Xenopus tropicalis: one gene and its partners. The protein of the gene in region 1 interacts with the protein of each later gene in a pairwise test. Links are inferred from orthologs where the notes say so. Each region holds a gene or a part of one and is shown on either strand. Other genes may lie near its edges.

Region 1 (4,867 bases):
GAATTTTGTGATAAAACTTTTTTCTGTAGTAAGTCCTCTTTCTCTAGATATAGATATATATATATATATATATATATATATATATATATATATATATATATATATATATAACTTTGCTAATTGTAGCACTGTATTTTCATATAATTTAGAAATTCCTAATAAGACAGAAAAGTTATTATTTAGAATTGGTAAAAATCATATAAAAAAGCATAATTAGAGGCACTACTATAGAGAAGCATACAATTCCTCTTAGAGCATAGATTTTATGGGTCTTGGGGCATAAATACTATGTATTAGGTCTCTGCAGGATTGCAAATGTGCCATAGGTATGTTCAAAAGTATGTTCCAGCTGAGGACAAGGGCCAGAGGGAAAAGAGGCAGATGGAGAGGAGGTTCCTTCTATATACTGGTCCCAGTCCCTCAGCATTCATTGAGGTTAACCAAGCAATTCTGTTTTCACTTGTTTAACCCATACACAAATGTCATGTTGGGATCCAGGTAAAAGGCAGGTTTATTACAAAAAACGAATAACTGTGTAAAATGATATACAAGTTATATTTTTATGTGGGTATTTGTCTTATGAAAACACAAGTAAAGCAATGCATTCAACTGAATGCAAAACAGTTTGAATAAAATGTTCAGTTTACTTGTGTTTATTGAAGTAATCCCAGTGAAAAATCAGATAACTATATATCTGCTGTCTAATCTCGTTATACATATTCTGCTTCTGCTATATTTCTGCATGTCCCATGCTACGTACAAATCCTTTTCTCTTTTTTTCCCATTTATTCTTTTACAATTTTCTAAGGGACCAGTCTGCTCTACAATTGGTAGTCCAATTGGTAGTCCGGAAAAACGCTTGCTGAAAATACCGCATAAAAACGCAAGACTTTGCATTCTCTCAAGTTTTTATGTGTATTTCGGCTACATGTGCCTGAACCCAAGCATATTCCATTCATTCGGGTGCAGGCACAAGTAGGAGGCGTAGGGCGGTATTTTCAGGATGCATTTTTCTGCTTGCCGAAAATATACGCCCTATGCCTTGTCTGGCATTAGCCTAAGGCTGATGTCAGACGTGGCATATTCTCGGCAAGTCGAAAAACGCTTGCCGAGAATACGCCCTCTGCCTACTACCAGCTACGCTCTGGTGCAGGCACAGGTAGGAGGTGGAGGGCGTATTCTAGGCAAGCGTTTTCCGGCTTGCTGAGAATACACCACATCTGACATCAGCCTAATAATGCAAAAGGTGGCAACACATAGGCCAACCTGCCATTTATCCGATTATGGCCTACACCTGGCCAAATAACCCTGTTGCATTCCTTTGGGCCCACTAACTGATGGGAATTTCTGCTATTAGTATTTTTATGTTGGACAGATGGAGTGCAAATTTTTTGCAGAATAATCAACCTGTGTGTCATAGTCATGCATTATTTTCCAAATTGGCTAATTCTTTCCACTTTAATATAAGTCAATATAAAAAGAAGAAAAGACATGGTGAACACAGTCTTTATAAAAGTTGAGAAATGTTTTTTTACAGAAAACATAAGCAGTGAGAATTTGTGCGTTCCTTGTGAAGACACAAAAATGTAAAACTATAACCAAAAAACAGATTTGAAATCATTGAAATGTATACGTATGTTTGTTAACGCATACTTCTTTTATTCACAACTAGAGGCAGACTGAGTTCCGTGCTGGTGTGTGTTTCCACCCGGGACATATCAGCGTTGCACACTGGGTCTTCTTCCTGGAATCTCTACATTTCGGCTTTATAGACGCTAGCTGTGGGTTGTTGTGACGTTCTTGGCAGCGTCACAAGCAGCGGTCCGCTCATCCTTAGGCGGTGTTCGTTTGGCTCATTGATGGCGGGGAACTTTTGGCAGAGCTCTCACTAGTAAGCGTTGTTTTATTTGTTTTGTCTATAGGTAGTAGGCTGAGCTGTCGCCATCTTTAAAATTCCCTAGCACTTCACTATGAGCGGAAAAGATTCTAACCTGCTGCCTTGCCGTTCTCAGTATACCAGTGTTTTGAGACTTGCAAATTGTGAATTTCTTTGCCTGTAGTGAAGTACAGGCCTTTTTGTATTTGCTGTAGCCCTATAATAACCCTTTTAATAAAGTGCAAGTTGTTGTGTTAGCAATATACAGTCTGAAATGCAGAATAACTCATTGCAAATGAGGTCCAGGTCCAGCATTTGATCAGTTCCATGGCTTTGCTTATAAGCACAAAACAAAGCCCTCCATCTGTTGCACTGTTGCACATCCACTGATAACTATCAGGAGAATGCTGGGAGCTGAAGTTCCACTAAATGCCTGGGGACCTCAGGTAGGTCATTTTTGCCATTAAGACATCAAAATGGTTATTACAAGGTCACTGAAATATTAAAGGAGACATTCGTATTTTACATCAGTAAGTACATTTAAAGGGGTTGGTCACCTTTGAGTTAGCTTTTAATATGATTTAGAGAGTGATATTTGGAGACAGTTTGCAATTGGTCTTCATTTATTGTAGCTTTTTTTAGTTATTTCATTTTCATTTCAGGAGCTCTCCAGTATGGAGTTTCAGCAGCTATTTGGTTGCTAGTTACCTTAGTAACCAGGGAGCTGTTTGGATGAGAGACTGTTAAATGAATAGGAGAGGGCACAAATTGAAAAAAAAAAAAGCTACAAAAACTAACAACTATAAAACTGCCTCACAGAGCATTAGTTTTTGTGTTGCTGGGGTCTGCAAAGAGTTGGAAGAAGAAAGAGTTAGTTAGAATTGGTCATTCCGTAACATACTAAAAGTTAACTTAAAGGTGAACCACCCCTTTAAGAAGGGGTTGGATGACTTTTTACGATCCGAGCCCAGCCCTTAAGGTGGCGATTTGCGATCTTTCATGCAACCATCGGTCGCACACCGTTCAGGGCTGAAACGGCAGATAAGGAGGTAGAAACAATAGGATTTCTACCTCCTTCTGCCGATTCAGCGCTGAAGGCAGATTTTGGTCAGGCGCCTTCTATCGCGCCCGATCAAAATCTTTTAACTTGCCCGGTCGGCGAGTCGACCGATATCGGCAACCTCCTGCGATATCGGTCGACTCGCCGATTTGCCATACACACACCGAATATCGTACGAAACGAGGTTTCGTACGATATTATCGGTGCGTGTATGGCCAGCTTTAGACTTGGCCAATACATGAAACTACGGTTGGCTGAAACATGGAGATTGTGCGCAAAATTGCACTTGGCCCACTTCATCTAGGTAAGTGAATGTGCTCTATGGACTAATAAGAATTTGACAAAATAGCAGTGCAAAAGAATTGAAATGATATATTTTTCTAATTTTTTTTTTTTTTAATTTATTTTAGTTTGCAATGGATTTTGGACAAACAAGACTTATTAAAAGAACGACAAAAAGACCTAAAATTTTTAAGTGAAGAAGAATATTGGAAATTGCAGATATTTTTTACAAATGGTAATCGCATGTTTCTTTTAGAAACCTGGTATTTTATTATAGGTGCAATATTTTTATTGTGCTATGTTACTTCTGAATATAGATTGTTATTGGGATGCAACCCACTCAATAGCCCCCACACTGTTTGTTTCTCTTGCTACATTCGCATGAAACACATACTCATTTACATTAAACATTCATCTTATTTTCTTTCCTTTGCAGTTATCCAAGCTTTAGGAGAACACCTTAAATTACGACAACAAGTCATTGCCACTGCCACTGTTTATTTTAAAAGATTTTATGCCAGGTGAGTTTGCTGAGAGGGAAAGGACTTGTATGTGTTTTTGGTTTTATGGTAATGCCCTATCCAGTGCCAGCAGCACTAAGCAAAATTAGTGGTGTATGAGTGTTAAAATGTCACAATCCAGCTGTGGCTTACCACTACACCGTAGTGTCTTTCTGTGATAGTTAAGCCCAGACTTTCCTCAGGCAGTGCATATTATTTGAGTGTAATCATAGACTGGAAAAGTACAGGCTAATGACTGAACATTTAGTAAACATATACTTCGTCTAGGTAGGTGAATGTGCCCTATTAAAGGTGGCGACACACGTGGCGATCTGACGATGTTTAGTGCGACCATCGGACCACACCGTTGGGGCTGAAACAGCAGATAAGGAGGTAGAAACAATAGGATTTCTACCTCCTTCTGCTGATTCAGCCCTGACGGCAGATTTTGGTCAGGCGCCTTCTATGGCGCCCGATCAAAATCTTTTAACTGGTCCGATCGGCGAGTCGACAGATATCAGCAGCTTCCTGCGATATCTGTCGACTCACCGACATGCCATACACGCACTGAATATCGTACGAAACGAGGTTAAGACTAAGATTTTGACAAAATTTTTCTTATATTTTAGATCACGTTGTTGCTATAAAGCTGTGCTGTATCTTGTATGTATTGTTTTACATTTAATGTTTACAGATCCAACTTTTCAATTTAAATGGAATTGTTACTCTATGGTATGGCCTTTATGCACTTATGTTTTGTTGATATAATTTTTTTGTTTTTCATATTAGGTATTCTTTAAAAAGTATAGATCCTGTATTAATGGCACCAACATGTGTGTTTTTGGCATCCAAAGTAGAGGTAAGACACAAATTACACACACACACACTCATTCACTCTCACTGGGGTTTTCAGAGAACTGAATTCAAATACCTTTTCTGTTCTGCTAGACTACAGAAATGTAATAGTAAAAGACAAAAACTGCTTTCAGTTGTAATTATTTTACAAATAAAATATCCAATTAATTTCTATTGGTTTTTGTTTCTTAAGAAAAACTATTTCTAATACAGGTTCAGGATCTATTATCTGGAATGCTTGGGACCTGGGGTTTTCCAGATAAGGGATCTTTAAATAATTCGAATTGCCATTTT
Region 2 (4,266 bases), on another chromosome or scaffold:
TATTTAGTAGCTTTTCTGTAGCAAAAACATCAGTTTTTTGCAGAGCAACAGCACATTATATTTTAATTACTTTAAAACACTTTAATTTTTTGATGTTACTGTTCCTTTAAGATGTCAGTTTTAGTCCTTTCAGGCTGGAATACAAATACTCTGTACAAACATACTCAGGGGGTAAATCACATAGTCCCCACAATTCCCTCTCCAGTACCAGACAGAGGCTGTTAAGCTGCTTTCCATTAGCAAGGACTTGTCATCTTGTTAAAGAAAATGGGTAAATGCTAATGGGTTTGGTTTCTGGCAAAACATTCATTATGATATTGTATATTTATATTTAGAAAGCAACTTAAATGCACCTTTGTCTACTTATCAAACACTAAAATGCTCACACACAACTAAAACAATTGACTTACAAAGCAGTTAAAAACAAATATTTACCTGCCCACCGCAGATTTCGGTTCCTTTAGAAGTCAGACAGAGAACAATATGTAAAAAACAAATATAAGTTAAAAAGGAATATTGGCATAGGATGTAAATTAAATGGATGACACAGTGATCATAAAGTCTAACCTGATATGTTTGAGCCGAGGGGAGAATATTTTGCTCGATATCTAAGATGAGTGCGTGCAGAGATGACAGTTTTTCATTCAGCTTACTGGTCCTTTCATTTGTTCTTTTAATGATCAGTCTCTCCATGTTCTCCAAACGCTCTTTGAATTCTCTTTCATGATCTTCTAAAATCTGACGCAGGATTTCAAATTCAGAGGTGAGCATTCTACGTTTTTGCTCAATTTCATTCTGCAAAAGTTAAAAGCCGTGAGTAACAAATCACTAATTTATGGGTAACAGAGATGACTAGAGAACTTAAACCATGACACCATAACCCATGTACCCCTATCTTCAACAGACTTTTTAAATAAAGACAACGTCAAGTTGGAACAAAACTACCCAGCATTCACCAGTAATGTCATCATGTTAGCGCTTTTTTCCCCAAATCAGTTTCTATTTATAAAAAAATTTAAAAAAAAAATCAAGAGAAGTTTAGTACGCTGTTCAGTTTAAAGGTACTACATAGATCACTATATAGTATAGGTAGTAATATTAATTTGTGGCATAGTGAGACCTGTTCCGCCACCCTTGGTGCTTTATTTCATTGATTATCTGCTTGTTCTCTCTGAGTGACCTTTTTTAAGTTATAATTTACACTTTTTTTTAAAGGTAATTTTTTAATTATTTTAAACAAGATAAAACCAAAACAAAGAAAACAAACAAAGGTTTTCGCAGAATATGAGAATTGGGTACAAGTTGACACAAGGTGTAACAGTGAAAGCCATGGGGGGAGGTTCCCTTGGTTGGACACACCAAGAGAACAGTCATCCTAGATTAGGGTCTAGGGCAGGCATTGCTCCTGGAGGGGGGCCATACAGTTTTATGGCAGCCTCCTGTATAGGTGTGGAGAGGTTTCCCTAATTTAGGTCTCAACAGAGTCTATATCACACCATACAATGTCAAATTTGGCAGGTGATCCTCTGATTTTGTATGTGAGTTTAAAGAGTGGGGTTGCATTATTAACCAGTTGTATGCAGGCTCTGGGGGAAGAAGGGGAGTTACCCATCCAATGCATAGCAACTGTTTTCTTTCGATACAATAGTAAAATGCAAAATCTTAACCTTGCATATTTAGAAGGGATTACATCATTTAGGACACCCAGAAGGCACATGGTTAGGTTATCCACCAGGTAATTAAAGGGGCTTTTCCCAAAACCAAGGGCAAAAGTCCCCATGAGATTGAGGATATGTACATTTTTTTTTATTATACATTTCACCAGATCAGTGTAAACCACTTCTTTTGGCTTTGTTTTGTACTTAGTTAGGCCACTACATATAACTATATCTATATATAGATATAACATGTAACAGTTTATTAAGCACTTCTCAGTCTGTAGAACTGTTGTAACACTGGTGCCCTTAAATGTGCAATTTTATATTTACTGTGATTTTATTATTTCATGTTAGTGCTAAGTTACCAGTATACTGTTAGGCTACGGCCAAAAGAATAAAAAAAGGTCGACAAAAGGGGGGCTTGTGGTAGGAAAGCTCACAGACAAGCTTCATATCACTGCAACTTGTTTGACTGGGTGTTTGGTAGCTGTGCAACAACAGTTGTATCTGCACAACTAGCTGTTCTGCCATAAGACCAGATAAGGTAGAATTCAGGGGAAAATGATTTCTGAAAGTCCAAGTAGAAGGTCAGATAGGGTAAGGGTTTGGAGCAAATACTTATTTAGTAAACTTGGTTTTCTTTAACTATAACTGATTAGCTGATAAAATTGTATGTTTTTATCTGTAACCTTGCCATAATTGCCCATATACAGTTAGGTCCATAAATATTTGGACAGAGACAAATTTTTTCTAATTTTGGTTCTGTACATTACCACAATGAATTGTAAATGAAACAATTGAAATGCAGTTGAAGTGCAGACTTTCAGCTTTAATTCAGTGGGGTGAACAAAACGGTTGCATAAAAATGTGAGTTTATTATAGGAACAGTAACACCAAAAAATAAAAATGTTTTTAAGTAATCATAATACAATGCACTGTTGCCCTGCACTGGTAAAATTTGCACATTTGCTTCAGAAACACTTCTATAGTTTATATAAAAAGCTGCTGTGTAGCCATGGGGGCAGCCATTCAAGCTGGAAAAAGGAAAAAAGGCACAGGTTACATAGCAGATAACAGATAAGTTCTGTACAATACAATGGTGTTTTATCTGTTATCTGCTATGTCACCTGTGCCTTTTCTCTTTTAAATGGCTGCCCCCATGGCTACACAGCAGCTTCATTTACTAAACTATGGTAATGTTTCTAAAGCAAATACACCTGTTTCACCAGTGCAGGGCAACAGTACATTATACTGTAGTTCCTTTTATACACTTTGATTTTTTGGTGTTACTGTTCCTTTAATGCTCTGCCAGGCTGTTACTGCAGTGGCTTTCAGTTGCCGTTTGTTTGTGGGCCTTTCTTTCTGAAGTTTAGTCTTCAACAAGTGAAATGCATGCTCAATTGGGTTAAGATCAGGTGACTGACTTGGCCATTCAAGAATTTTCCACTTCTTTGCTTTAATAAACTCCTGGGTTGCTTTGACTGTGTGTTTTGGGTCATTGTACATCTGTCCATTTGTATCAATTTGACTGCATTTAGCTGGATTTGAGCAGACAGTATGTCTCTGAACACCTCAGAATTCATTCGGCTGCTTCTGTCCCGTGTCACATCATCAATAAACACTAATGTCCCAATGCCACTGGCAGCCATGCACGCCCAAGGCATCACACTGCCTCCACCATGTTTTACAGATGATGTGGTATGCTTTGGCTAAGGAGCCGTTCCACACCTTCTCCATACTTTTTTCTTGCCATCATTCTGGTATAGGTTGATCTTGGTTTCATCTGTCCAAGGAATGGTTTTCCAGAACTGTGCTGGCTTTCTTAGATGTTCTTTAGCAAAGTCCAATCTAGCCTTTCTATTCTTGAAGCTTATGAGAGGCTTGCACCTTGCAGTGCACCCTCTGTATTTACTTTCATGCAGTCTTCTCTTTATGGTAGACTTGGATATCCATATGCCTAGCCCCTGGAGAGTGTTGTTCACTGGGCTGGCTGTATTGAAGGGGTTTCTCTTCACCATGGAAATGATTCTACGATCATCCACCACTGTTGTCTTCCGTGGATATCCAGGTCTTTTTGCGTTCACCGGTTTCTCAGGATGTACCAAACTGTATATTTTGCCACTCCTAATATTGTAGCAATTTCTCTGGTGGGTTTTTTCTGTTTTCACAGCTTAAGGATGGCTTCTTTCACCTGCATGCAGAGCTCCTTCCACATGCAAGCACCACACCTCAAATCAACTCCAGGCCTTTTATCTGCTTAATTGATAATGACATAACAACGGACTTGCCAACACCTGCCCATGAAATAGCCTTTGGGTCAATTGTCCAATTAATTTTGAGCCCTTGAAATTAAGGGATCGTGTTAAAATCCCCACTGTTTACCCCACCGAATTAAAGATGAAAGTCTGCACTTCAACTGTATCTGAGTTGTTTCATTTACAATTCATTGTGGTAATGTACAGAACCAAAATTAGAAAAAAGTTGTCTCTGTCCAAATATTTATGGACCTAACTGTGGACTGCAGAAGGCTAAACAGGAGTAACCTTGTGTCTCTGTGCTTCCAAAACTTGCATCCAAGCCAGAAATTTAAAAACGGGCACCTACTTTG
Region 3 (4,266 bases), on another chromosome or scaffold:
CTTATAAAAGAAAACCTAATTCTAAGCAACTTTAGATTATGAATTTATTCAAAATTTGCTTTAAAAGTTATTTGTAAATGTTATTGCTATTAAAAGCAGAATTTGCTTTACTCCTAGTTATGTATAAACAATGGTTACAAAACTAATAAGGCCAATCCATTGGGAAAATATTGAGTATATAATATATACAATAAACTGACAACATGCAACAGTGCAAGAATATCCTCTAGTGGCCAAGAAGAAAAACCACCATTAAATATATAATCCTGCACAAATGCTCAGGTTAAAAGAAAAATGTATTTATCACAATCCATTAAAAGCTACTTGCACCCCATATATAAAGCTTTTTAATGGTTTTTAAACAATGGGCCTGATTTAATTCAGTGAGAAAAAATTGTCTCGTGGTTTATCATGTGAAAACTTAGACTATTCTATTTGAGGAGAAAAAAACGTTTTACCTTATTCAGTTCGTTTTTTTTCTCATAGACTTCAATAGAGTTGTCACGTGATAAACCATGAGATAAGTTTTTCTAAATTGAGTTGCATCCCAAATTGAATCTCATCCATACGTTTTCACATGATAAACCTTTTATTTGCTGATTCAATCTGGCCCAGTGTTGCAACGGTCAGTCTCCTCCATCAAGAAGGGTCGGTTAGTCTGCTGGCTTGTGTTACATTGCTTTAAAAGCCAGAGCCACCAGGGCAGAGAATAGAAAAGGACAGACAAACACTGCTTTTAATAGCAATTATATGTACAAATAACTTAAATACCATTGCGAAGTTGTAATGAATGTATATTGCAGTTATACAGTTATTGCAGTTGCTTAGAATTCTTATGTTTTCTCTTTTTAGGCAATTTTTTGGTTGACATGCTTTACCAAAATATTTGGGAATATAAATATGCATTTGCTCGTTGGTATAATTTGTACATATGCTATTATATATTCTATTTTATTTAGCACAGAGATACACCTGAAAACAATCCGGACACCCCATTTGAATTCACTTCAGAAAATTACAAGGTACAGTCTAAGCTCTATAACTTATCCTGGCAAAAAGACGGGCATTCACAATACTTTAATATAATTTAGTCCTTACCAATTGTTATGATTATTTTTCTATATGCAGGGTCACAAAATCAATGATTTAACCCTGTTTTGTTAGATTAAAGGGAATTCCAGCTTGGCCAGTGATCCTTAATGTTGCATGTGAGGGATTCTTAGCTAGGATGGCAGTGCAAACCCCACACACACAAATTTATCAGTGAACAGCCTCTTTGAAACCTTTTAATACATGCCACTCTGGTTGTCCAGAGGTTAATAGTAAGGCTGCAACATCTCCTTAATCACTTAAGATTTCCTTCTCTTCCTGTAACTCCATAGAAACTCAGCTCTAGCTGCCTGCTTCAATTTTTTTTCTCCTGAGCTTAGCTTTACCATAACACTGCTCAAACAAAGCAGAACTTTAATCAGAGACAGTTGTGCCTGTGTGAGCCTGTATTCTTGATTAAATGTATGCTGAATAAGGGTCTGTGTGTGTGTATATGCTGTTTGCAGATTTAAATGTATCTGATTATGTATCAGAGGAAAAATGGCCACCGGGTGAAAGCTGCTATTTGTTTTAGGAAAATGTGATGGTGCTGGCAAGCGGAGGGGATATATGCAGTACAAATGATGCCACTTGGGTGGGGGAGACGTGCCCAACTAATATACATTGTATGCAAATGTAGGCTTTACATGTCCATGGAGTTTATTGATAGACTGTGTGTTCACAGGCCCTGAGCCTTCAGCTAGAGGAGCAGAGTTAAGGTGGCCATACACGGGTCGATTGTAACTGCCGATATCTGTCCCTTGGACCAATTGGGCAGCTTATCAGCCCGTGTAGGGGCAGAAATGAGGGGCATGCCTGACCGATATCTGGGCTGAAATTGGCCAGATATCGATCGGGCAGGTTAAAAGATTTAGTCGGATCAGGGACCACATCGGCTCATTGATGCGGTCCCCAAACCGACTGCACCCATTGCTCCCATTATAATTCAATCGTTTGACCCCAGGGCCAAACGATCGAATTAGCCTACATTCTCCCGATATCGCCCACCCATAGGTGGGGATATCGGGAGAAGATCGGCTCGTTTGGACCTCGACAAGCAAGCGCATCTTAAGTATGGCACCCTTTAACTGTATGCAGTCTGTCATGGCAGCAAGTAAAATCAAAAAGAGGTTTAGCCTATGACTAAGGGGCTGATTTACTAATCTACGAATCCGAATCCCGAATGGGAAAAAATCGGATTGGAAACGAACATTTTGCGACTTTTTCGTATTTTTGCGATTTTTTTCGTCACCGTCGCGACTTTTTCGTAGCCATTACAACTTTTGTGAATTGTCGCGACTTTTTCATAGCCATTACGACTTTCGTGAATTGTCGCGACTTTTTCATAGCCATTACGACTTTCGCGAATTGTCGCGACTTTTTCGTATTGAAAAAGTTATGACGGTGACGAAAAAGTTGCAAAATACCGATCATTACAAAAAAAATGCATTCGGACGCTTTTCGGACGTTCGTGGATTAGTAAATGTGCCCCTAAGTGTTGAGATCATGAAACGTGTAAGGCAGTCCCTGTTGCTGGTACCAATAACCTATTTTAATTTTACTTCCTGCCTTCATGGGCTGTTTATTGAGTGCCTGCCTATCTGCATACAGTTGACCCTATTAGTGACCTCAGAGCATCCAACTAAAATGCATTTGCATTTTTATGTCTTTGTATTCATATATTTATATACTTATTTTTAAGAGAATTGAGGCTATAATTGGCAACTATCCTGAAGGTCACAAAGCAGGAGCTGTAATCCCTGTTCTTGACTTGGCACAGAGACAGCATGGATGGCTACCTATATCTGCTATGAATAAGGTAAGCTGATGAGGAAAAAATTAAATAGATCTGAAATAAAGTTCAGCTTACTAAAGGTTAAACTTTACTAAAAGGTTGTCTTTGCACTCATACAGCAAAACAGAAATAAATAGGACAAATACAAGTATAACTAATTTTGTTTTTCCAGTATATTTTATTTAAAACTAGAGATACCAAACTTTTGATGGTGCTGCTGATGTAGACTTGTGTTAGTGATTTAGTATGCTGGGATTTGCTAGATGTTTAATAGTCTTTGTTTTACACATCATTATTTATATACAAGGATATTGTAACAAACAGAAATGTCAGTTTTACAGAATGGAACAGTAGGAACTCTTATGTATTGACACTAGATTGGTCATTCAATAATTACCCAAATTTGACACATCAGTTGCAATACAAATCCAATATACAATATTTTTGAGCTATAGTGCATTACACATTCTGATCGCTTGTCTCACAAGAAAATGTAACGGGTATCCACAACACTGGATTTCTGGTTTTTCATCCAATTGATGGCAATGGCAAACAACATAAGTAGCTGTGTAATATTTATAAACCCTGAAAATGCACTAATGAACGTTTTAGAGTGATTAGCATGAATAGAGCACTGTAAATAAGTAAATACTTGTGCTGTATTATTTTACTTTCTTAGGTTGCTGAAGTTTTAGAGATGCCTGCCATGCGTGTGTATGAGGTGGCTACATTCTACACTATGTTCAACAGAAAACCAGTGGGGAAATATCACGTCCAGATTTGTACGACAACACCTTGCATGCTTTGCAACTCTGATTCAATATTGGAAGCTATTGAAAAGAAGCTAGGTATGATTCTTAGACCATTTTCTCTCCCATACTTTTTTTGCAAAGTAATATTCTGGATAAATCACACAAAGGCGTGTTTGGCTAGAAATGGAATTGCATTGCTAGTTTAAAGGGGTACTAAACCCTCCCCAAACCTCAGCCCACCCTCCAAGCTTCATTCCCACATTTTCCCTATGTGTGAACCTGCCATAATGCGATGGTGCGAGCGGGTGGTGGCGGTGGTGTTTGATCGACACGGGGGGTGGGGGGTGGTTTGCGAGCGGAGGAATGCTGGAATCCAAGATGGCGGCTGTGACAGGCTGCAAATACACCAAAATTAAAAACCAATTTTTGTGAGCTCTACACTATATTAAGGGCTACTATAGTAGCCTTTCCTTGCTCTTTAAGTAGAAGAAGATAGAACTTATGAACTCTGCTGCACAATTCCGCAAATTTATGCTAGATTCACTCATAGTCACATGTAATAGACGTCGTGAAGTAGGAGCTTGGGGCGATAGGTGGAGGGGTGCTGAGGTTTGAAAGGAATTAAATCCT

Evidence for each region. The genes of interacting proteins can lie anywhere in the genome.
Region 2: the proteins of ccnc (region 1) and E3 ubiquitin-protein ligase TRIM39 interact in binary tests that used the Homo sapiens proteins (3 or more experiments, as listed by UniProt). The two-hybrid records come from large-scale screens. The link is inferred for Xenopus tropicalis from reciprocal best matches to the Homo sapiens genes CCNC and TRIM39.
Region 3: the proteins of ccnc (region 1) and ndufv2 interact in binary tests that used the Homo sapiens proteins (3 or more experiments, as listed by UniProt). The link is inferred for Xenopus tropicalis from reciprocal best matches to the Homo sapiens genes CCNC and NDUFV2.

The regions. Positions count from the first base shown.
Region 1 is NC_030681.2:82,029,984-82,034,850, forward strand, and holds the start of ccnc (cyclin-C), read left to right. Parts: upstream 1-1,724; 5' UTR 1,725-1,859; coding exon 1,860-1,891; intron 1,892-3,346; coding exon 3,347-3,453; intron 3,454-3,654; coding exon 3,655-3,739; intron 3,740-4,507; coding exon 4,508-4,577; intron 4,578-4,867. UniProt on the Homo sapiens protein: Component of the Mediator complex, a coactivator involved in regulated gene transcription of nearly all RNA polymerase II-dependent genes.
Region 2 is NC_030678.2:143,279,155-143,283,420, reverse strand, and holds part of E3 ubiquitin-protein ligase TRIM39, read right to left. Parts: intron 796-4,266; coding exon 568-795; intron 459-567; coding exon 436-458; intron 1-435.
Region 3 is NC_030682.2:104,466,579-104,470,844, forward strand, and holds part of ndufv2 (NADH dehydrogenase [ubiquinone] flavoprotein 2, mitochondrial), read left to right. Parts: intron 1-959; coding exon 960-1,022; intron 1,023-2,791; coding exon 2,792-2,908; intron 2,909-3,563; coding exon 3,564-3,732; intron 3,733-4,266.